3 linked regions of the Arabidopsis thaliana genome follow. The protein of the gene in region 1 interacts with the protein of each later gene in a pairwise test. Each region holds a gene or a part of one and is shown on either strand. Other genes may lie near its edges.

Region 1 (8,607 bases):
TAACTTGAAGTAGCATAGTTTTCAGCTCAATCTTTAATCCAAGACTAATTTATGAAGAAGAGCCGATGTGATACAAGCTCATTCTTTTATCATCTAACAAAAAGAAGCAACCGCACTTTCACACTAGCTCATCATCTAATCCAGAAGTAAGTAAGTTCGTTCATCCAGTTCCTAATCCATCTAGAAGAGGTTTGTAGCTTGATAAAACCCACAACATAGGAAAAAAAATCAACTTGACCACTTAAATAGAAGAGGCTAACATAACAATAGACGTTACTCAATGTTTTGTTGTTTGTAACAATACTCTGCCTAAGGAAAATGGCTTTAACTATTATTATAAAACTCACAGTGCAACCATGTTCCTACACCATTTCACAACCCATATATCACCTCTTCAACAAATTCATTCAAGGTTCAAAGCAAAGAGTGAGAAAACTTGAAAAGTCTGTCAAAAGCATACATCTAGAATAAAGAGTAATACCACCTACCTGTAGAGAAATTGCGAAATGCTGGACGAATAACGCTGTTGAATAAAGAAGACGAAGCAGAAGCTCGAGCTCTGCATAACGCCACAAGACCTGACATGGAGGGACTGCTGCTCTAAACAGTATAAAGGTAGGGTTTTTAAGCACTACAGCTCCAACAACCTATCCAAATAAACACAAATAATTAACAGTCTGGAACTGTACATATCCTTGAAATTAGGGCTTCTACGCACTACCCACATACCTAAATCGTCACGACCGATTTTTATTTAAAATTCCGAATCAGAAAACTGTACAATATCACTAAATCCGGTCATTTCTTGCAATGATAATTTGAGCTATCAATCTACTGGGTTAAGTAATGGCTTCGTATAATGATGTAGCATGAGATCGGGACAAACCTGCAGTATGCCAAAGTCCTCGAAGAAACCTTTGCAATTTGAGAGAGAGACTGATCGAGGAAGACGACTATGGGTGTGTGAGAGAGAGCCTAAATGCCTAATTGTTTTAATTAAAATCGAGAAGACAGGCCCAATTCATTAATACAAGCCCAATACACCAAACCCACTAGATAGGCCCAGCTCGTTCTATCAGTGTTTTCTACACCATGTGCAGGCGCGAGAAAGGAAGAACAGAGCACGTATGTAATAAACGTCTCCATTGTAGAATCACTTGAGATTAAATTTTCTAAATATGAATTAACACATGATCGTTGAGGATGTGAACTGCGTTTTAGGTTCATTCATGTAATTGATAAACGCCAATGTGAAACACAAAACATAACTAAGCTAACGAGAGACCACAATGATATAAGAAGTCCAATAAAAAGACGGCTCTATTCAAAAGTCTGATCCATCAGTTATCAAAAAGCACACAAAACAAGTCTTTCTTTTTTTTTAATTTTAAATAGACATTTCAAGATCGGAGATTTAGTAACTATGACCATTCTGTCTCTGCAGCACTTTGTTTCCTTATTCCTGTAAGAAAATGAAATTAATATTAGTGAGCAAAAACGATCATAACGTTCAAGCTATAAGCAAAAGAAAAGAATATATAGGTAAATAACCTCATCGTCGTCATCATCATCTTCCTTCTTCAGACGGGTCTCTCCACCTTCCTTGATAATAGGAAGCTTCATAGCTCCAAATGGTGTATCAACATCAATATTACCTTTGATTGTGTACCCTGTTCCTTTACCACGAATCATATCCCAAAGCGCAGAACCAAAGTCCTTTGGTCGGAATGTCATCGGCACATTAATCAATCCGCTTCCGTTTTTGTCAAGCTTGATCGAGTCCGCGATCTCTGCTTTCCCAATGCTTACATCACACAGCCAAACTTCACAGTCCAAGTCATTGAGCCCCAAGTCGAAATCATTCATGTTCTGAAGCCTCACATGGAGAATCGCCACGGTTTCCTCCAAAGAGAACTTCTGGAACTTAATCTTCTCGATATCAACATCAGGTTTCTTTGGAATTGGGATCTCTCCACATTTCTCCAGCGGCAATGTCAGTCTTCCCAATACTGGCACATCCACAATCAGATCAACCTTGATTCTGTAAGGTATGATCATCCCGGGGTTGATATCGTTGTAAGTGCTCTTGATGTCATCATAGATCAACGTCAATGGTATCTTCACAGTTTCTTCTCCATGAGCCTTGAGTGTTCCAGCATCCGGGATCAAACCAGAAACCAGTTTCCTCCCATCGCTCTCGACCAGGTAGTTGACATCGATGAGAGGGATAGGAACTGGATTCGGGTTCTTGACAAGCACATCCACAACAATATCTGCCCTCTCAAGATTGATCTTAGGGATATGAATCGCAGAGACATCAGCAGTTGGCTTCCCAAAGCCAATGGTTCCCTCGAGTTTCTCACCAATGTCATGAATGAAATCTTTCACCTTATCGAGGAATCCACCTTTCCCTTCTTCTTTTTCCTCGTCCTTATCCTTCTGACTTCTATCGACGATTTCCACGTCACCCTCCTGATGAACTACTCTACTGATGATTTCCGGTTTATCCTCAGATGTCGACATGCCTCCTAAGCAGCAAGAAAAGTCAATTAGTGCCACAGAAACAAAAGCTTAGAGTATCAAAGAATAGACAAAACTTCAAGCATTCAACGCCGAGAGTAGATTCATCAATCACAGCAGGACAATGGTTGTAAAAGTCAAACAAAGTGTAATCACAGTTTTTAGTAGTTGTAAGAGGCTATAATCACCAAAACAAAGTTTCTCACCAAAGACCATAGAGAACTCGCATCACATTAGATATCATCAACTAGGATCCTAGTGGAATATCCCAAACCAAAGAACATACAATGCATCTCTGTACTAAGAGACAATGATCATATCACGTGAATCAAGAGGATTCGTGGGAAATACAGATCCGAATGTTCGATCTACACATGATAGCACTAGATCAACCTAAATGTCAAACAGATCGGAGAAACAAAAAGCTCGATCTAATTACACCACCTTTTTCCATGTATTCCGATCAAATCATGAAGGATCAACGCAAGAACAACAATGAAGAGAAATAAAACTTAGTGGATTTGATTTTTACCTGGATTGGATGAATGTGAGTCACAGAGACAAAGAGAAGAGAGTGCTCCAAGAGTCACAAAATGATTATAGATTGTGGAATTGGTTGATCCGTTGAACTTTATATTAACTATTATCAATGTGACGCGTAATCTTCGCTCGCCGACAAAATTTTCGTCGTGTAAGATCCTTATTGGCTTTTAAAATTGACATCCATTTCGACACCTCAATTTCAAGATATTACAACAAAGAAGATCACATTTTTGATTAGTACAGAAAGACCCCCAAAATTCGGAGGAATTATTATTATCATACGATTCAAAAAAAAAAAACAAGGCCAGAAGCTTACAAAAGCGTTTAAATGATTTTGTAACCAAGGGTAAAACATTTTGACAATCTTTGAGGTACAAACAATTTCAGAGACTGGATTGTAACCAAATGGGACAACATCAAGAGGTTCTCATACGTGATCATGTTCATCCATCGAACGAGCCGAGCTATTTCAGGTGGTGCTCAAACAACGACGCCATTTCGAGCTGAAAAACAAGAGGAAGAAATATTCAAAGACTTTACCAAAAAGACATAAGAACCCGAATGGTTATAACATGACCAGTTGCTCAATGGAATGATCAGGAATTTCTACATCTTATTCTAACAATAAAGGATTGAATCATAATGATACTTACCGCCGTCAAAGCAGTTTCAGCTCCCTTATTGCCGGCTTTGCCACCAGATCGATTCAGAGCCTAGAGTTTCAGTTAACCACAATATTAACAAATTCAGTGTTCATCCATTATGATGAATAAGCTATATATCATCAACTCTTGCATAACACAACTTAAACCTGATCCATGTCCTCGCAAGTCAGTACACCAAATATGCATGGAACGCCTGCAAATTGGATTTTTTATAAGCTTTAATTACTAGAGTCAATAGTGCGTAAACACAAAATTTGAAGAAGTAATTCATGATGAGGGAATTTAAACATCCAAAATCCAAAGAAAAGCAAAAATGAACTACCCGCTCTTTTAGGTTCGGAAGTATACAAAATCAATCTTTCAGTGTTTCCAAAACAATGTCAAATAAAAATGTCTAAAGATGTATATCCAGCAAATAAGTATCGAGGTAAACCTGAATTTATGCTAGCAGAAAGTACTCCAGACGCAGCAGAGTTGGCAACAGCATCATAATGTGTGGTATCTCCTCTTATCTAAACCACAACAAGGACAACAGTAATATCAAAATCCAACTCTTTAAGTATATGTTATCAACATAAAGCAACTACTTTCTGAAGCCATATGAGGAGAAAAACAAATGGAATAGCCTGAGATTCTTTCAAAACAAGAATCATACCACAGCGCCGATACATAAAACAGCATGAAATTTTCCCGATTTCCCAAGATTTTGTGCAACAACACCAATTTCAAAGCTGCCAGGAACCCAAATAACCTGAATAAAAACAGTGTCATTAGCTTTGTGAAAGCTCATAACTTTTTATTCTGTTCTACAAGCAAAAGACTTTTACTTCAATGTCTTCTTCTCTGACTGAATACTTCTTGAAAGTCTCAATCGCTCCTTCCAAAAGCAACTTAGTCACAACCTCATTGAAACGAGCTACCACCTTGAGAAAGAAAAATGAATCAGAACCAAGTCAACACTGCAATTGAGCTCAAAGTTTTCAAATTTCACTGTAAATCAGAACCAAGTCACTAAATCTAAGCAGCGCACAAAGTAAGAAAGCGATTCTGAGAACTCACGATGGCGAATCTAAGACCTTCGCCTCTGATAAGAGACCCCGTAACATGGCGAACAGCAGCCGTCTGTACGAATGAAGAGCGTAATTCCTTCTCTACAGCTAGTGGTGACGCAAATCCTAACACCAAATGTTAACATCTCAATCACGAAATTGCGAAAAAACGATTTGAGTTATTATAAGAGAAGTGAGAGAAAGCAAGCTTACCGGATGTGGATGAGGAGAATGAGAGATTATTGGATTTGTTCACAGAAGAGCCACCGTGTATATAACAGGCGGAGGAAGATTGACGCGAATTGAGCTGACGGTGTGCCGTCGGTATCAGGCGGAGACACGGCGGCGAAGCTAATGACTTCATTTTTCGTTCGTCGGAGTTTTAGAGACGGTTCTTCGTTCTTCAGGTTAAGAGTGAGACTGTGAGGTCCATTAGCTTATCAAATCGGTTCAAGGCTTCCGGTTTATTATTTTCATTAAAATTACGGTTTCATTGAATCTATTAGTTTGGTTAGAGATTTCCGGTTTGATGAAAAGGGATAAGCTAAACCCTACATCCCCAATCACTCTCACCGGCCGGAAATTTTCAGACAAAAGTGAAAGATTTAAACTTTTGACTCCGTCGTAACAAAGAACAAAACTTCCGTATCCTGGAGAGTAAATTCCTTTATGGCTACGAATGGGTACGTTTCGAAACCTACGAATTTCACGTTTTGATTGACGGAGATGAGCTTTAAACTCTTTAAGAGGATTCTATTGAATTTAAACGATTTGATCACAGGTTAATGGCGTCGTCCAGTGTGTTTCTTCATCGCCCGCGTATCGCATTTGCTTCTAGAACGAATCAGACTGTAGGAAAATACGGTAAAGGCCGTGTTAGTTTCATGGGCATTGGGACACGTCGTCTTCCGGTGGTTTTATCCATGACGGCGATGGCGGATTCCGGTGAGGAGGCCGTGAAATCTGTTTTGCCTGGAAATGGCATATCCATCATGGTAAACCTGATCATCTGATGATTTCTCTTAGACTCAAAGTTGTGAGATTTGACTTTGCATTACCATTTAAGTTTGAAATGTAGAAATGTCAAAGCTTGTTCCTTTTGAAATGGGGATTTTTATGTTGGATTTAGCTATATTCATTATCTCTTATTCTACAGGTGAATGGATGTAGTGGCAAAATGGGGAAAGCTGTAATTAAAGCAGCAGACTCTGCAGGAGTAAATATTGTTCCCATATCGTTTGGATCTGCTGGTGAGGATGGTCAGAGAGTTGAGGTCTGTGGAAAGGAGATTACTGTGCACGGTCCAACTGAAAGAGAAAAGGTTCTTTCTTCGGTGTTTGAGAAGCACCCGGAGCTAATTGTTGTCGACTACACAATTCCCTCTGCAGTAAATGGTAAACTTCAGAATCTCTCATTTCTACCATCAAAAGACAATTGTATTCTAGATTTGTTGAAGTTATGGTTGAATTCTGGTTGGCGGAACGATCCTTGATTGAGTTAGTTTAGAATTTGTGCAAGTGAAAATCATCTGCTAGAAGTGTTTTTTTTGTCTATTGTTTGTTGATTTCAAGTTTGGTATTCTCGCAAAATGTAGATAATGCGGAGCTGTATAGCAAAGTAGGTGTTCCTTTCGTCATGGGAACAACTGGTGGAGATAGGAACAAATTGTATGAAACTGTTGAGGAAGCAAAGATTTATGCTGTGATTTCTCCACAGATGGGTAAACAGGTATGTGTACTTGAATGTTTCTGGAAGAAATGATTACTTATGCATGTAAGTTAAGATCATTTTTGCTCATATTTGTGTGCTTTGTTGGTCTATAGGTTGTAGCATTTCTTGCGGCCATGGAGATCATGGCTGAGCAGTTTCCGGGAGCCTTTTCTGGTTATTCCTTGGATGTACTTTTCTTACTTCTTTTATACATTCAAATTCTTTTTTCTTTCTCTGTTAGTTTTATATTACTTCTTGCTACATCTAATCAACTGCCAATCTATATGTAGGTGATGGAGTCTCATCAAGCTAGCAAATTGGATGCATCCGGAACAGCAAAAGCTGTTATTTCTTGCTTCCAGGAATTGGGTGTGTCTTACGACATGGATCAGGTGCATTGGTCATCCTTTATTGTTTACATCTTGGCAATCACTTAATTTATCCTCGGAATGTGAATTTTCTGTGTATACAACTTTTGTGGCAGATACAATTGATTCGGGATCCAAAACAGCAAGTGGAGATGGTGGGTGTACCTGAGGAGCATATCTCTGGTCACGCTTTCCATCTTTATCACTTGACATCACCCGATGAAACGTAATGCAATATCTAAGATATTGTTTATACTTTTCTTTGTTTCCATTGTAAAAGTGTCTCTGTTCCATAACTAGCTCCCTTTTCTTTGTCTTTCTTTGCAGTGTCTCCTTCGAGTTCCAGCACAATGTCTGCGGCCGATCAATTTATGCTGAGGGTACTGTTGATGCCGTGCTCTTCCTCGCCAAAAAGGTTCTAAAGCTTGCTCTTATTGCTCATCATGATTCTGCGAAATTGAATCTCAGCTTTCTCTGAGTCTCACCGCTCTTCTCTATAATGCTAATTGTTGATTCAACACTTTTGTGAAATGCAGATTCGATTGAAAGCAGATCAGCGAATCTACAACATGATCGATGTCTTGAGAGAGGGAAATATGCGTTGAGCTTTCGAGTTTTGCCAGTGCATTGACCAAATGGTGGTTGTAGAAGAGCTGAGATTAGATTTACCAAATCATCAGCTGTGAAAATTAGATGTTTGGTTTCCCACTTCTTCTGCCTTGAGCACAGGCTTTTGAAATTCCTTGGTATATACAAGAACTTGCCATTGTATTGTTCATGTTTTGACCTCTTTACCTCAATGTTATTCTCCTTTCTGGATCATTGAAGTGAAGTCTTATTGATCAAACTTCTCCACAACAATTCTCAGACAAAGTAAAACCTAAATTCATCAAATGGACCCTTCACTTACCATTTGATGATTCAACATCTAAAATGAGATCAAGTGCATAATCATAGTAAGGAACTTGACCACTCAATCCGCAGAGATTGAAATCATCTTGTATATAATCTTAATCGACAAAGTTTATTCAATCTGGTGTTGTTAAGATTTTTGGCTTTTATTGTTATTCTCATTGAACAAATGAGTCACTTCGACTGTTCTTGGCGGTATGCATTTTAGGGCAGGCAACTAAGAAGAACTCCGGGGAGTCTTTTAAATGTGTAACAGTGACAGCTTATTTGGGCTTTAAATGGGCTTCTCATGAGACACCAAAGAACGGTTTTATGTTCCATAGGCCATGAGAAACAAATGAGGGAAAGTAAGCTCCATCAATGTCTGCAATAAGCATTAAGGAAAGAAGCTGCTGGTCTTGTTGGTAGTATATATCCATATAATTAGCAAGACTTGTGAAAGTATATATTCAGTGTCGAGCAAGTGTCACTAATTCATAATGCAAAAGGAAGGAATTGGAATCTGAATCGGATTCAGATCCAGGCAAGGTAAACACATTCTCAGACCATTCAATGACTCCCCAAACCAACTCGCGCTCAAGCAAAATTAGTGCACACCAAATCTCCGTTTTACATTCCTTAGTATACGTCTTCCACCAAACTGTCACTCTCCTTCCTCCGCCAGGGCTTGCCACCGAAAGAAGATAATTACAAGACAATTCTTCAAGTCCCCCAACCGTCCAATGCCACGCCATAGCGCCACGACAGCGAACTAGTTTGAGTTTCCCATCGGAAACCGATGCTTGGAAGTCTTGGTTATCGATCTTTAGCATGCAAACATTTGGACACAAGTCAAGCTTG
Region 2 (8,078 bases), on another chromosome or scaffold:
TCTTCTTGTTCTTGTTTTAAATGATTTGTTTAGGGTTTTCGTTCATGCTTTAATTTGTGTTGAATTCAGGATCCGCATTGTTGAAGTTCCGGGCAAGAGTCAACTCAGATCCTCATGGGACTCTTGCGAATTGGAATGTTTCTGGTATTAATGATCTCTGCTATTGGTCAGGGGTTACTTGTGTTGACGGTAAAGTGCAGATTCTGTAAGTTCCTCTGTTTTAGACTAAACTATGAGAAGATGAGACCATTAGTGTAACTATGTTCTGATAAATGTTTTGTTGTGTTTTTTTAGGGATCTTAGCGGATATTCTTTGGAAGGAACGTTAGCTCCTGAGCTTAGCCAATTGAGTGACTTAAGATCTCTGTAAGGATCTTTTCTTTGATGACTCAACTCCGGTTTTTCCATGTTTGGTTGTTTTTTCTTGGAGTAAACCACTTTCTTGTCGTTACAGAATACTCTCTCGGAACCATTTCTCCGGTGGAATTCCAAAGGAGTATGGGAGTTTCGAAAACTTGGAAGTCCTGGATTTGAGAGAGAATGATTTGAGCGGACAAATTCCACCTGAGCTAAGCAATGGCTTATCGCTAAAACACTTGTGAGTTAACATTTCTAATGTTCAATTCTTAAGAAAATGTATTGAATAGAAGTGTACCTTAAATGTTTGTTTGCTACGACCTTGTTGAACTGATGTAGGTTGCTTTCTGGTAACAAATTTTCGGATGATATGAGAATAAAGATCGTGAGACTTCAATCTTCGTATGAAGTTCGGTTAAAGAAGAGTCCAAAGTTATCACCTTTGGCTGTTCTCGGCTGTATTAACAGAAAACTTGGACACTGGTAAGCTCTGTAATATATATTCTGATTCATCTAACACAAAGAGTGTTTTTTTGGTTATGCATATCCACCGTTCATCTTCCTTGACAGTGTTTCAAGAAACCGTATCATTCAAGTAAAAAAGGTAGAAGCTATTGTATTCCGGATCAAAGCAACCTCCAGACGTTTCTTGAAAGCATTCCCTAGTAAGCCAAAGACAGTTTGGATTCAACAAATTTAACGTAGAAACTAGAGATAAGTACTTGAAGGTGTCATTTCAATCTGATTCTTGCAGGCTTTTTGGAGGAAACTGATATCTACAAACGACGTGAGCTACTCGAGGAGACAAGTAATTTAGCGGCTGAGCCTGCTCCTTCAGCTCCTAGTCCTTCTCCCGGGATTATAACTGAAGCTTCACCTCGAAGCAGCGGGTCTTTCCCTGCAGTAACCAATGCAAAGAAGAGAAGACCACCTTTAGTCCCTCCTGTACCTTCTCCTGATAAGGGCAGTACTAGTCCTGATATCTCTAAGAATCAGCCACAAGATAATAAACAGTCAAAAGGATCAAAACATGTATGGCTGTATGTGGTTATCGCGGTTGCTTCTTTCGTCGGTTTACTGATTATAGTAGCGGTTATCTTCTTCTGCCGGAAAAGAGCTGTCAAGAGCATAGGTCCTTGGAAAACTGGTCTTAGTGGACAATTGCAGAAAGCTTTTGTTACCGGTAAAAAATCTTATTTCTCTTTGTTTCCATTTTTACTCTGTTTCTTTAGGAACATTAACACTGAAACTGAGAACAAAATGTAGGGGTACCAAAGCTCAATCGGTCTGAGCTTGAAACAGCGTGTGAAGATTTCAGCAACATCATAGAGACATTTGACGGTTACACTGTGTATAAAGGAACATTGTCGAGTGGTGTTGAGATAGCGGTAGCTTCAACCGCGATTGCTGAATCTAAAGAATGGACAAGAGCCATGGAAATGGCATACCGTAGAAAGGTTACTGCTTACTCCTTCTTAACTAACAAAAAACTAACTTAAAAGGTCTTATCATTATAACTTAAAAGGTCTTTTTGTAGATTGATACTCTGTCACGGATCAACCATAAGAACTTTGTGAATCTGATTGGATACTGCGAAGAAGATGATCCTTTTAATAGGATGATGGTCTTTGAATATGCTCCAAATGGAACTCTTTTCGAACATTTGCACGGTAACAACATTGGTCTTGGTCTTTTCATGATGTTATCTCGGCTTTCACTCTCTCAGTTAATAACGTTTTCCGCCTATCAGATAAGGAGACAGAGCATCTTGATTGGAGCGCACGGATGAGAATAATAATGGGAACGGCTTACTGTCTTCAACATATGCACGGGATGAACCCGCCTATGGCTCATACGGACTTCAATTCATCGGAAATCTACCTAACCGATGACTACGCAGCCAAGGTTTGCTCTAAAACTCTCAAACTGTTATTAAAGGTGTTGTTATTAAGCTGTATGTGCTCAAGAACCTCTGAAACTTGTATTACAAGTTTACGTTTTTAAGATGAATTTGCTCAAGAACCTTGAAACTGTTTTAGATGTTTTGTCTTTAAGCCGCTAAAAAGATTTGTTTAACCGAATTTACAGGTCTCGGAGATTCCATTCAACTTAGAGGCAAGATTAAATCCGAAGAAACACGTGAGTGGAGACTTAGAGCAAACGTCATTGTTACTACCTCCAGAACCGGAGGCTAACGTCCATAGCTTCGGAGTCCTGATGCTCGAAATCATCTCTGGAAAGCTCTCTTTCTCAGACGAATACGGATCTATCGAGCAATGGGTATATATATATAAGCGATAATAATCCCTATCTAATAATATAAAAAAAGCAGAGGATATCATCTATATACTAACGGTCTGGTCCATATTTCAGGCATCGAAGTACCTTGAAAAAGACGACTTGGGAGAGATGATAGATCCATCGTTAAAGACATTCAAAGAAGAGGAGCTTGAAGTGATCTGCGATGTGATACGAGAATGTCTGAAAACAGAACAGAGACAACGACCTTCAATGAAAGATGTAGCGGAACAACTGAAACAAGTTATCAACATAACTCCTGAGAAAGCTACTCCAAGATCCTCTCCTCTTTGGTGGGCAGAGCTCGAAATCTTGTCCTCTGAAGCTACTTGACCAATCAGAGGTTTCTCCTATTCGTTTAATGCTCTCAATCTCTCTATACGTTGTATCGATTTTTCTTTTTCTTCTGATTTCTTGGATCAGTTTTTCTTATATGAGCATTTGGTTTCTTGATTCTTCAACGTTCAGTTTGTTTTGATTAGTGTTTCCTTCTCTATGGATTTGATATATACGAGTTTCGATATGTGTTTGTATATTGCATAGTAGTATTATTATTTTTGTGATGATATATATGTGTGATTCTAATTTTTGAATATTATTAGGTTTCGCTTATATTTTAGTCTTTGATGTATAAAATTTGTTACTTCACATTCATATATTTCATGCATGAAATTACATTCTATTTTTCGTTTGAAGTTTTTAACGCAAGAGGCAGTTGATGGAAGTTAAAAATTTCATTCTTATTGTAATATGAAAAAAAAAAAAAACAGAACAGAGAAAATAACTCTTAAGTTTGTGTCAGGAGTGAGTGACATAATGTCTTCGGTTTCCCCACCGACGTAACTGAACCTGAAACGTAGCCGCCGCTGCCAAAAACTCAACGCATTGCGGTGGAGTTAAAATGTCTAATATACCTTTAAGCGTTTTCAGCCGCACACAATCCGCAGCCTTCACCATTTTCTCAAGACCCATCGATAATCCTCTCACCGCTGCCTCCACCACCATCACCGATTCTCCTCCGACGTGACATCCAAGCCTCGCCAGCTCTACCATTTTCCGATCAGCCATAGCCACCTAAAGACAGTTTCAAGTTAAATAACTAAAATAAAATGATTTACAAAATTTGTATTCCTACATTTCAGTATAGGTATAGTAATTACTGATAAAGGTAAACGGAAAATATTTGATTTAAGTCCAAAATTTACGGAAATGGCGACTTTTTTTTCTTTCACAAATTATGCAAACAGTAAAAAACTAAAAATAGATGAATAAAAACGTGATTCGAAGAAAATGTAATAGACAAAAACATATTGAATCATTCCACCATTCCGTAAAATATCAAGATCATATATGTTGTCTTTTATATCAAATAAAATTTAAAATTGTATCCAACTAGCACCACACAGATGAGTAATAATTAGGTCTAACAAAAAAATATTTTGTGTATATATATATATATATTAAAATTCGGTATCCCTTGTTTGAATAAACAAAAAAAAATATATAGAATATTTTTGATTTGACACTATTTTCAATATAATTTGCTTTTCGGTTTAAATGTTAAGGATTCAATAGAAAATTCATCAAAATTGCTATAACTTTAAAGATTTTTTTAAAAAAACATAATTTTCAAAGAAAATAGAGCAATCACTGAAAATAGCAATCCATTATTCAGTTAAAAAAATTCCGTTTATAAATAAATCAATGTTTGAAAAATAGTTTTAAAATTCTAATGAATCTAAATGTTGGACCCACCTGATACCGCTCCATCTCTCTCTCAATTTTTTGCTCATCGAACTTGGTCTTAACTCTCAGCTCCTCCAATTTCTTCACCTGAGCCTCCACAAGCACCACTCTCGACTTCCTCAGCCTATCAACCATCCGAAACACCATCGACGGTTTCCATCCGGTTAACCAAGAGCAAGCATTCTCTAACGGGTTTAACCAAACTGATCCGAAAAAAGCTAAGACATCTTCTCTTATGGCTGCCCATTTGGCTGTATAATAAGCTTTGTGATGTGTAGTTAGCTTCGAGATCAAATGTCGAAGCTCGGTCTCACTCATAGTGTTATTGTTATGAGCAATTAAAAGTTGATGAAGATATAGCTCAAGTTGAATAACCCAACTCTCATAGAACTCTAGGAACTTTTCTTCTACTAGGTTTCTCATTTTGCTCATTAGTGGTTATATTCTATAAAGAAAATTAGCATTTTGGAACAATATTTATACCTACGTCTATCGATATATACACAATGCATATATGTATATCCCCAGGTGCATGCATGATGTTTCTGTAATAATAATTTATCTATAATATATTTCGGAATGGTTTTATATTACCAACTCTACTTTGTACGGAATAACGAAATATAGAAAATGAATCAATAGTAGAGTTGAAATGGTCGAACACATATTTATTATTAAACCGAAAGAACTTAATATGTAATTATCATTTGGTCACCAAATATTGCTTAACATGAGTTTTGAAATTTTGAATCTCTTTTATTTGGTTTTTTTTTTTCTGTTTTGATTTTAAGTAACCTTTTAAAGGGTACCAGTTTGGGAAAATTTAAAAAGACAATAATTAATATGTGATTTGGTATTCGTAAAATTCTTGTACAATTCTTGTACTAATCAGATACTCATATTTTATTATATGCTAAGTCACTATGGCCGGTGGGTTGTCTTCCCTTAAAATTTTAATACAAAATCCTATCAAAAAAGCTTTAAAAAAAAAAAATTTGACGTTATTAGTTCTGAGGACCTCTACAATGTCGACATGCAGCATGTGAACGTATATCTAAGATTTTAAGTATAGAGATATGTATATAAAAATTGAATGTACATAAAAACTTATACGTGGATATTTACGTTCATCGAAAAGATGATTAAAATATACATTAATTAATTAATTCTTTATACGAAAGAAATATTAAAACTTGAAAGAAAAGACATGACAGATGGAAGAGAAGGGAGATTACAATAGTTGCATGGTTACGCGCATCACTGGCCGACTGCAAATATGTGACGTTTTGCAAAGTTAGTAAATAGTCTTTTAATTTACGTAATTTTATATGATGAATTTAAATCAACTCATGCTTAGTATTTTAATAAAACACTGATATATGTTTTCCAAAAATAACAAATGAGAACATTCATTCAACAGCTACAGAAATTGATGTATTGATAAGATCAATAAAAATGGAATATAATAGTAAGATCTTTCTTCAATGTGAAGAAGACTCGAAAACTAGCTAAGGGAGGGTTTTGACCTCTGAGAGACCCGAAACGGCAAGTCACAGAGTTGATGGCTCATGTGGATCCTCGTGTCGTTCGTTTAGCCATTATTAGCGTCAACGTGGAACATATCTTCCACGTAAGTTACCCAGTCAATCTCCACTAGCTAGTGTATGTATATGAGAATATGCAATGTATATAGTTTTGCTTATCTTTATAATAATATGTGTAATAAAATCTACAAGGAAACCATTTTTTTGTTATATTTTGATTTTGTCTTTTAATGTTATTTTATCATGGTTTTAAATAGATTTGTACTAATTCGAATTAAGAATTTATTATAAACACGGAAAGCATATTTCAGAAAATATATGATTTGTGTAAACTCTAAAGTAAATCATTTTAGATTAACTATAGAAACTGAAAATCTAATTACTAATTATATTAAAAAAAAATATTATGATGTTTATCTACTAAAAAATAAACCCCAAAACGGCTAATATATGAATATAACAAATAAATAACGAAACATGCAGATGCAGTACTATTGTTTCGGCCTTTTGGGTTGGGTTTGGTTTAAACTTTAAACAGATAGAAGCCGACAATTTTGGGACCAGTACAATTTCTTAAATGGACTTTTTCTTTTTCTTTACTTCCTCTACTAGGCCTTTAGTGGGCTGCGAGACAAATAAACGGAAGTATAACTTCTTCTAACGTGTTATAAAATTCTGAGTGTGGTATGTATGGGTAGGTGAGCTCATATTCATATTTTCTTGTCAACAAATTCTCATTTGGGAACTGATTGCTCATATGCATATTTTATTGGTGCATTTACTTGGATACTTTAAGAAAAAAGTGCCTAAAATAAAAACGAAGCTTATATAATGAGGCATTGAGCAAATTATACAAGAAGACATCATTAAGAGTGGATAACCTCATAAGCAGCCTCCCAATGCGCATTGATCGAATTATACATGAGTTGACAAATAATATACATCACAAAGCAAAGCTCGGACGAGTAAAAGTAAGATAAATGAGGCGATGACGCGATATGGTTGGTACTGTTCCAAATTGGAATAGGTGGCATCAGTGGCACGAACAAAGTGATGATTTGCTCAATAAGAGCAATGGTCGGACAACTAGCAAGAAGACTACAGTCATAAACTTTGTCAACACTATTTTTGAAGTTGTGATCGGAGTGCAAAATGGTCACCTCTAAATAAATGAGTGGAATCTAATTGACCCCATTTTTTTTTTGTGAAAATGGTAAATGAAGGAGTTGAATATTTTTTTCAAATAATTTCTTCTATTTAATTAATTCTTTTAGTTGACTAAAGTTAAATTATTTTCTATATTTAATTAGTTGATTTATTTAACCTACTTTTGTTCAAAAATTATTTCGTAATTTGCATCATTCTTTCTATCTTACTGATCAATGTAAACAGTAATTAGGGTCAGGTAATAGCTTTGGGCCTTTTACAAATTCCAATAAAACTCTTTCCAATTCTAAGAGCATCATTATCACGGCTTCTTAGGATATAACTTTAATGTTTTTAATAATAAATTTGTTAAGAACGTCTCTAATATAAGAGCCAATTAATTAGTTAAGAACGGGACAGGTGTCGAAATGATAAGAGAAAAATATAAAACAAAATATAACCGTGAGCCGAAGAATTATTTTCTTCTTTCTCTCTCTCTTTCACGATGCTTTCCGTTACTTCGGCGAGGATATTCGACGATTTGTGTTCAATCAGAAGGATTCGTCGTCAGCTCAAATATCGGTCTATGAAGGTATGAATCTCTCTGCATGTTTGAATTGATTTTGTTTGAGCCTTATAAAATTAGTTATAAGTAGGGTTTATGAATTGGGAAAATTATGTGTATTCAATTTTTGTAAAATAGGGTAAGTTCATACTTTAATTTGATTAGTATTTGTTGCCATACGAATGATTGTTATATTTATTTGAGATATATGTGTTGAAATTGAAAAGATTTTGATCAAATCTCTCCGTTTTATTTTGATCTTTATATGGATGTATATGGAGAGATGATTTTGTGATGGAACTTTAAAACGATGCTCTTAGGAGAAGACTTACAATATGCCTCTGAACAAAATCCAATCTTACGTTGTTCAGCCTAGAGTGGAGCAAGCAACGGCTTGATTGGTATGTGAATTTTCATGATCT
Region 3 (7,143 bases), on another chromosome or scaffold:
TACTGCCTCTGTTTATAAAAAAACACTCGAGGTATTGGAAATGTTTCATTTGTTTGATGGTTTGGTGGTCTGATGCATCGTGTTCTGTGTTTTGGTTTCTTAAACTCTTGAATGAAATTAGGCATAAATTTTGAGTCTTCCCTCAGCTTTATCCTTGAACAACCTTTTTAACATCTTGAATTTACCCATTTGGAGTACACAAATGCAACCATTCACAAACCTTCTCCCACATTCGCGCCAAGGACAATTCCACCCATGCCACGCTTATAGCTTAGCTTGGATTGCTCCCATCTCTCGCACTTCAAAACATAGCTTCTTTGAATGCAAGACCAATATACAACTCCATTCCTAACGATTAATGGGCGTCTCACTTCTTCTCTGAATGTGCCATTTACTTCCAATTTGAGCGACTTGTGGGTTTTCATCATCCGAGTGTCACTATCGGGAAATATGTTACGGCCTAAAGGAAACTCATCCCACAAACTGTGGTATATTATTCTCAACTTCAAACTCAAACCGTTTCATTGCATCCTCATCCAATTGATCAATACAAAGGGAAAACTAAAACATACAATTAAAACCAATAAACACCAACTTCTTAAGAAACTAGCTTGTTGCCATGTCATTAATCAACAAGCAATCTCGAGTAAAAAGTTATATTACATTAGTTCCTTATACATCAAAATCTGGATTTTACAAGGAGAGCTGTGTGAATAGCAATTCCAACTCCTTCTCTTGAGACAATGTTCTCTGTCCAACAAAGAAACATAAGTTAGTTAGTTTCAAAGGTGTTTCATATAGAGTAGTAATGTGAAGAAGAAGAGGATTGACTTACTTGGACAGATAAAAGGTCGTTGATTTTGTTGAGAACCTTGAGACGATGAACTGCATAAACACTGTTTGATGGAAGTTTACAAACCCTTTTGATCTCTTCCTGAATCACACTCGATTTCTCATCACAATCCATCTCATTCCATCTTTCTCCCACACGATTACCTCTGCTTCCCATTTCGTAACTGATTCCTCAGCTGAAACTTCAATAAACAGACATATACAATGAAAACGGAATCAGTTATTACAAAGATAAAGGGCTCGAAAAATAACAACTTTGTGTTCGATCGAAAATAGAACAAAACAGAACAGTGGGAAGAAAGATTGAGTTTTTACATCAAGGGTTACGAATTCAGAGCTCGCAGTTTCCGATTTTGTCACACTCAAGAGAATTTGCGAAAAGAAGTGATCGAGAATTGTCTTCCAGCCCTAAATTCGACACCGGTCTTCTTATCAAATAATTTTGGCTTTTTCAGTTATTTACTTACCCGACCCGTAAACTAACCTGTAACCCGACCCGGGACCTAGCTCACTAAGAACCCTTTAAGCCCTAAAATCTCCGATCACATCTGAATTTTGCTTCTTCCTGGCAATGGCATCTTCAAGAGTGTTAGGCAGATTCTCGTCTCGATTAAAGTCTCTATGTCAAAATCTCAGCAACAAGAATGCCAATGTTTCATCACTCCCCTCTCCCATCAAATCTGCATCACCTTCCTCAGCAACTAGTTGTCGTCTCAATCGATCTTCAAGGTTTGTCTTTTGTATCATTTCACACTATCAAATGGAGAAGACAAAAACCTTCTTTTTTCCTCACTATCAATGGGTCTGCAACAATGTAGATTACTTGCTGATAATTTTGAAATCTGAATCAACAAAGTCAAAATCTTTCTAAGCAAAATTACAAATTTGATGAACTTGTTGGATGGTTGTTTTCAGATTACCAGTGGAGTTGAGCTCGATGATACCTCTGCACAGTGCTATAGCATCGTCCAGGCTCGTCTCAAGTTTGTCCGTTGAATCCAAAATCTGGGGATTAGTTCCTCAAGGTCAGTTTTTGTTTTGTTCTTGAGCACTGGAATTACCATTTGGGTTTACTTTACATAGGTGTATCAGCACACAACACATTCTGTTGTTTCTCTGTGTTGCAATTTGTATCCTTTGTACTGTGTATATGGCGATAAATGTGATGATGCATCAATTTGAATCCGATAGTTAGCTCTACGGATAAGGATGTACATAAGTTCCTTTGATAAACTTGACAGCAACAGAAGTATGTGATCATATAGCATCATCATTTGTAAATCTGATGAAGTTGAACCCTTTTATGTTTGTGTATGGATCTGAACTGATAAAATCACACATTACTTCTAAGTTTGGTTTTGATAGAGTTTCGTTGCTTAGTTAGTTCAATAGATTGACATGAATCTTTTCTTTGGAATTGCAGGTCTTTCATTGCCTTTATGACAGTTTTCTTTTCTCATCTTACAACAAGTTTCCAGGAGGATAGAGACATAAACGAAGCTCGGATTGTATCGTTCTTTTTAGCTTTTATTCACATCCGAAAGTCCTGTAGTTTAGATTCTGTTATCTTGCGGTTTTGAGTTAATCAGAAACAGAGTAATCAATGTAATGTTGCAGGCTAGATCTTTCATCTTTGGAAATTTATTTTTTTCTCATGCAATTTCTTTAGCTTGACCATGAGTGACTAAAAGATCAATCAGTAGCAATGATTTGATTTGGCTAAGAGACATTTGTCCACTTGGCATCTTGATTTGGATGGTTACAACTTGCAAGACCCAATTGGATACTTGCTATGACAACTCCAACTCAAGAGTGTCGTGTAACTAAGAACCTTGACTAATTTGTAATTTCAATCCCAAGTCATGTTACTATATGTTTTTTTGTTTGTATTATTTTCTCTCCTACAATTAAGCTCTTTGACGTACGTAATCTCCGGAACCAACTCCTATATCCACCATTTACTCCACGTTGTCTCCAATTATTGGACGTTGAAACTTGACACAACGTAAACGTATCTATGTGGTTGATTGTATGTACATATGTACAAACGTACACCTTTCTCCTCTTTCACTTCATCACTTGGCTTGTGAATTCATTAATTCCTGCGAAATGGAACCTCGAATCAATGACCTTCAGGTGGAATCTCGGGTTCATGAGTTGCTCGATTTTCCGGTTCATACAAACCAGATATCCTCTGCAATCTACGAGGTATGTATATCATATCATATTGATACTACTACAATAAGAACACAACAAGTAATATACAGATCCTATTGCAGTGTCCCAACGACCACATCGAAAACCCTAAGAAGAAACCGTACAATTGTCCACACTCAGGAGCCAAGTGTGATGTCACAGGAGATATTCAAAGGCTACTACTGCATCTAAGGAATGATCACAATGTTGAAATGAGTGATGGGCGTAGTTTCAGTCACAGATATGTTCATCATGATCCTAAACATCTTCATCATGCTACTTGGATGTTAACAGTAAGTTATATAACTGATTATCTTGCTCTGTTTCTGCAACTTTGTGAATTTTTAAGTTTTAACCCACTTGAAACGATGCAGCTTCTCGATTGTTGTGGTCGAAAATTCTGCTTGTACTTCGAAGCGTTTCACCTGAGGAAAACACCAATGTACATGGCCTTCATGCAGTTTATGGGAGATGAAGAAGAGGCAATGAGCTTCAGCTATAGTTTGCAGGTCGGAGGGAATGGCAGAAAGCTGACATGGCAAGGCGTGCCGAGGAGCATTCGTGACAGTCACAAGACGGTTCGTGATAGTCAAGATGGCTTAATCATCACTCGCAAATTGGCTTTGTTCTTCTCTACCGACAACAACACCACCGACAAGGAGCTGAAGTTGAAGGTTTCAGGTCGTGTATGGAGAGAACAGCCTGTTTCGATATGAATTCGATAATTAGGTTACAGAATTGGACAACTATAGAATATTTGGTGACAAAAATATCTTTTCTTGATTTAAAAATTAAATATAGCAATTTCGAGGGAAATGTGTAGGTAAACTGGTGATTATGGCTCAATCCCCTTCACAAGGGGGGAATAAACAACACAATCACCACATTTTTGCTTCACAATTCAACTGAAAAAAAAGAAGAAGCACAACAGAGCCTGAGAGGCCATAGGGTTGGATAAGGAATAGGAGCCGAGACTTAGAAACATATTTCTCTCGTCCTTCAACAGTTTTTACTAATAAGTCTCAAGATACAGTTCGGCCATAGCTTAACGATGCAAGGTAGAGATTCTTTCCCCATTTTTCCTGCACAACAGAAAATTGCATCTCCGGTATTGTTCATGGGAAGGGAGAAAAAGAGTTCAAGATATTGATTAGTAATCTTTTATAGCTGCTCTACTCACCTTGACGTGTGTGCTGGGGAATTGAGAGGTACGTAACGTCTCTTGTGTCTCATCAACAAGTCTACGACGTGGGATGCTTAGGATGAGAGCAGCTTGATCGGTTGTGGCTGCTGTTGATGTGATTCTGAATCCACCATCCCAACGCCTGTGGATGCCTTCACTTGGATACAGAAAATCAAGTTCCACAACCTGTAGAGGAGATATAAGCGAAAACAGGAGAATTAGAAATCAACGCGACAGATCCAAAACTGAAGGAAACGGAAGAAATTCATCTATATCGGTGAAGTCTAACCTGTTCACTGTAGCCAGAATTGCGGGACATAACAACACCCCATCGATTTCCAGCTGTTGCCATTGAGGTTACATGGAAGCCTTCTCTCCATTTCTTGTTTATCCACTTGAACGGGAATGAATCGCTTACTTTGTAAGACTGCTGTGTATACTGCGTACCTTCATAATTCATTTGAAAACCAAACATAGAATAAGCCACAAATTCAGAGACTAGTAAAATACCATAATGACGAAAGTGTTCAAAAGTATTCATGAAAAGTGTAGATACCTTTTGACATGACAACTAAGGAGCTTCCATTGCTTGCACCAGCAATAGAACTAATGTAGTAGTTCTTCTCCCACTGCTCCATAATCCATTCCTGATTCAAAACAGAATTCACTCTCAGGTAAGATCATCTTGACAGAACACAGATATAAAAATAACTAACAGAGAAACATCAGACAACCTTGTGCAAGAATACAGGAGAGAGTTCATAGACTTGGTGCGTGAAGCCAGTTCCAGCATCCATTATCAATGCCCAGAGATTCGAACATGATGATACACAGCTTATCAACAAACCATCTGCAATACCTCTCTCAATATGCTGTGCCAGTCTTATATCAGCCACATTATAATGATACCTGGTTAAACACATAAATTGTGAGTCCAAAAATAGTTTTAGACACATTAAGGCCAAAAATCCAAGATTATAATATAACCAAGAGAAAAAATGAGACACAAACGCAGTCCCAGCAGTTAACTGACTGTATAAATAATTAACCATGAATTTTTTTACCTCTGCTTCATTGGTTGCCTGGCATTGTAAATCGATATCCATTGCGTTGCAGGGACTCCTAGACGGACCTTTTTCCTAGGGGCATCTTCTTCTTCCTCCCCAATGCTCAACCTACCTCGCTTCTGGCCAACTTGGAATATGATCTAGCACAAAAGAAAACAATTACAAGATGTTAAACAACAACTCCTAGATATCCAAATAGGAACGAAAGGGAAAGATATACAGCATGAAAATGTCACCTTTTGAGCACCCTCTGTGTTTATAGGCCTAATTGCCGGATTTTCGCCCAAGAGGTCTTGAAACAGAGATACTAACTTTCCATAGTTGGGTTCTTCATCAAATTTCATATTTACCACGATCTCAAGAAATTGTTTGAAAGGAGGGGGACAAAAACAACAAAGCATATCCGGCGATGTTGCCATCTTCTTTTTGCAAACAAGGAATGACTTGTTATCTCCCTGAAAATTGAGTAAGAGACAGGATTAGCAGAGAAAGAATCATGCAACAACATGATTCTACAAAACAAAATGATAGGTCTGCAGTACCTGATATCCTTGCCATGGCAATCTACCTCGGTGAAGAAAGATCAGTGTATATGCTAATGATTCCAGATCATCCCTTCTGCTAGCAGTTCTCCCTAAATGAGCATGTGCACTTGCGTATCTAACTGTCCCTCTATAAAAATTAAGAAGAGAGAGATTCAACAAAAGGTAAGAGCGAGTATAAAACAAATTATATTAGGTAACAGTAGAAAATATATTACCTAAACATATCAGGACGTTGATCATATTCAACATGTTGTCCGCTACCACCTTCTCTCCACTTTGTAGCTGAAAAGTTGGTTGAAAAATGAGAAAGGTAAAGAAGAACCTAGCAAGAATAACAAAGAGAATGAAATCAACCTAGTCCCAAATCAACAAGAAACAGTTTTTTCTCTTGAGACGTTGAAGGCTGGCCGAGTAAGAAATTTTCTGGCTTAACATCCCCATGCACATAACTGAAACCGAAGTAAAACATGACCTGTTAGGCTAGTTAATAGAGAGAAAACATAAGAACTTAGAGGTGCCGAGACTCCAAACAGGATATCAGAAGAAACCTCGGACAACCTAATTAAATACAAAAACAAAAATAAAGTTCAATTACAAACCCTTTTGCATGCATCTTTTCAAGGATGGAAAGTGATTCAACCGCAATGCAAGCTACCATTTCCGAGGACATTCTGCAAAGCAAAAAGGGGGAGAAGAATTGTTAGGGAAGTCGATTTTTTAAAAGCAAAATGTTACTCAGTATGGACTTATGTATTTTTTTAAAAACAGGGAGTAACACCACATTTCAAGTCACAATTCCAAAAGAATCCAAATTAACTTAGGATACTCATGTATGGAAACAACGCTAATTGAAAAAGAGACAAGAGCTCCCCAAGGATGTGTAATGGAGACTCACGCTTGCCCTGAAGTATTCCATAAATCCCATAAGCTAGGCCCAAGCATGTCCATAACCTGAGGCCAAAACAAAGAAGAGAGGATCTAACTTCAATGATACAGACAGGAGAAAAAAACAGAAATAGGAGAAAGGGGGAATCCAGTACCATGACATAATAGTCTCCTTGCCTGCCTTTGAAATGTACTCTAGGGACTCCATGGCTACCACCCAAGGTGCTGTTCACAATAAAAGTAAAATGTCAATTTCACATTTCAAGTCAAGGAAGCACCTACAATCCAGGTAAATGAATTTAAGAAACATTGAAAGAAAGACAGGAGAATCGAAACACCCACTTGTAAACCTGCCACTCATGTGGAGGACCATAGTTGCAACCCTTGCTGCTCCTATGCTCAAACTTTAGAGCAA

What was found.
Region 2: the proteins of COS1 (region 1) and AT4G18650 interact in binary tests that used the Arabidopsis thaliana proteins (3 or more experiments, as listed by UniProt).
Region 3: the proteins of COS1 (region 1) and AT3G13672 interact in binary tests that used the Arabidopsis thaliana proteins (3 or more experiments, as listed by UniProt).

What each region holds. Positions count from the first base shown.
Region 1 is NC_003071.7:18,220,838-18,229,444, reverse strand, and holds COS1 (6,7-dimethyl-8-ribityllumazine synthase / DMRL synthase / lumazine synthase / riboflavin synthase), read right to left. Parts: upstream 5,233-8,607; 5' UTR 5,142-5,232; coding exon 4,991-5,141; intron 4,904-4,990; coding exon 4,788-4,903; intron 4,652-4,787; coding exon 4,556-4,651; intron 4,480-4,555; coding exon 4,384-4,479; intron 4,241-4,383; coding exon 4,162-4,240; intron 3,922-4,161; coding exon 3,875-3,921; intron 3,777-3,874; coding exon 3,717-3,776; intron 3,567-3,716; coding exon 3,528-3,566; 3' UTR 3,212-3,527; downstream 1-3,211. Other genes in the region: AT2G44065 (Ribosomal protein L2 family), read right to left, coding at 489-585; AT2G44060 (Late embryogenesis abundant protein, group 2), read right to left, coding at 1,457-1,462, 1,552-2,523; AT2G44040 (Dihydrodipicolinate reductase, bacterial/plant), read left to right, coding at 5,447-5,460, 5,559-5,772, 5,934-6,171, 6,372-6,505, 6,601-6,675, 6,778-6,879, 6,972-7,081, 7,183-7,270 and 1 more; AT2G44030 (Galactose oxidase/kelch repeat superfamily protein), read right to left, coding at 8,217-8,607. UniProt on the Arabidopsis thaliana protein: Catalyzes the formation of 6,7-dimethyl-8-ribityllumazine by condensation of 5-amino-6-(D-ribitylamino)uracil with 3,4-dihydroxy-2-butanone 4-phosphate. This is the penultimate step in the biosynthesis of riboflavin.
Region 2 is NC_003075.7:10,260,590-10,268,667, forward strand, and holds AT4G18650 (transcription factor-like protein), read right to left. Parts: upstream 4,851-8,078; 5' UTR 4,834-4,850; coding exon 4,411-4,833; intron 3,730-4,410; coding exon 3,454-3,729; 3' UTR 3,380-3,453; downstream 1-3,379. Other genes in the region: MRH1 (Leucine-rich repeat protein kinase family protein), read left to right, coding at 70-205, 295-366, 455-598, 697-840, 928-1,022, 1,112-1,540, 1,624-1,814, 1,895-2,027 and 3 more.
Region 3 is NC_003074.8:4,470,162-4,477,304, reverse strand, and holds AT3G13672 (TRAF-like superfamily protein), read left to right. Parts: upstream 1-2,940; 5' UTR 2,941-2,961; coding exon 2,962-3,060; intron 3,061-3,131; coding exon 3,132-3,764; downstream 3,765-7,143. Other genes in the region: AT3G13677 (uncharacterized protein), read right to left, coding at 213-503, 698-748, 836-1,009; AT3G13674 (uncharacterized protein), read left to right, coding at 1,424-1,581, 1,768-1,877, 2,276-2,295; AT3G13670 (Protein kinase family protein), read right to left, coding at 4,071-4,130, 4,229-4,417, 4,521-4,678, 4,788-4,878, 4,966-5,140, 5,296-5,438, 5,535-5,753, 5,841-5,970 and 6 more. UniProt on the Arabidopsis thaliana protein: Probable inactive E3 ubiquitin-protein ligase that plays a role in regulation of autophagy. Upon starvation, involved in maintaining ATG6 homeostasis by competitively associating with ATG6, a component of the autophagosome complex.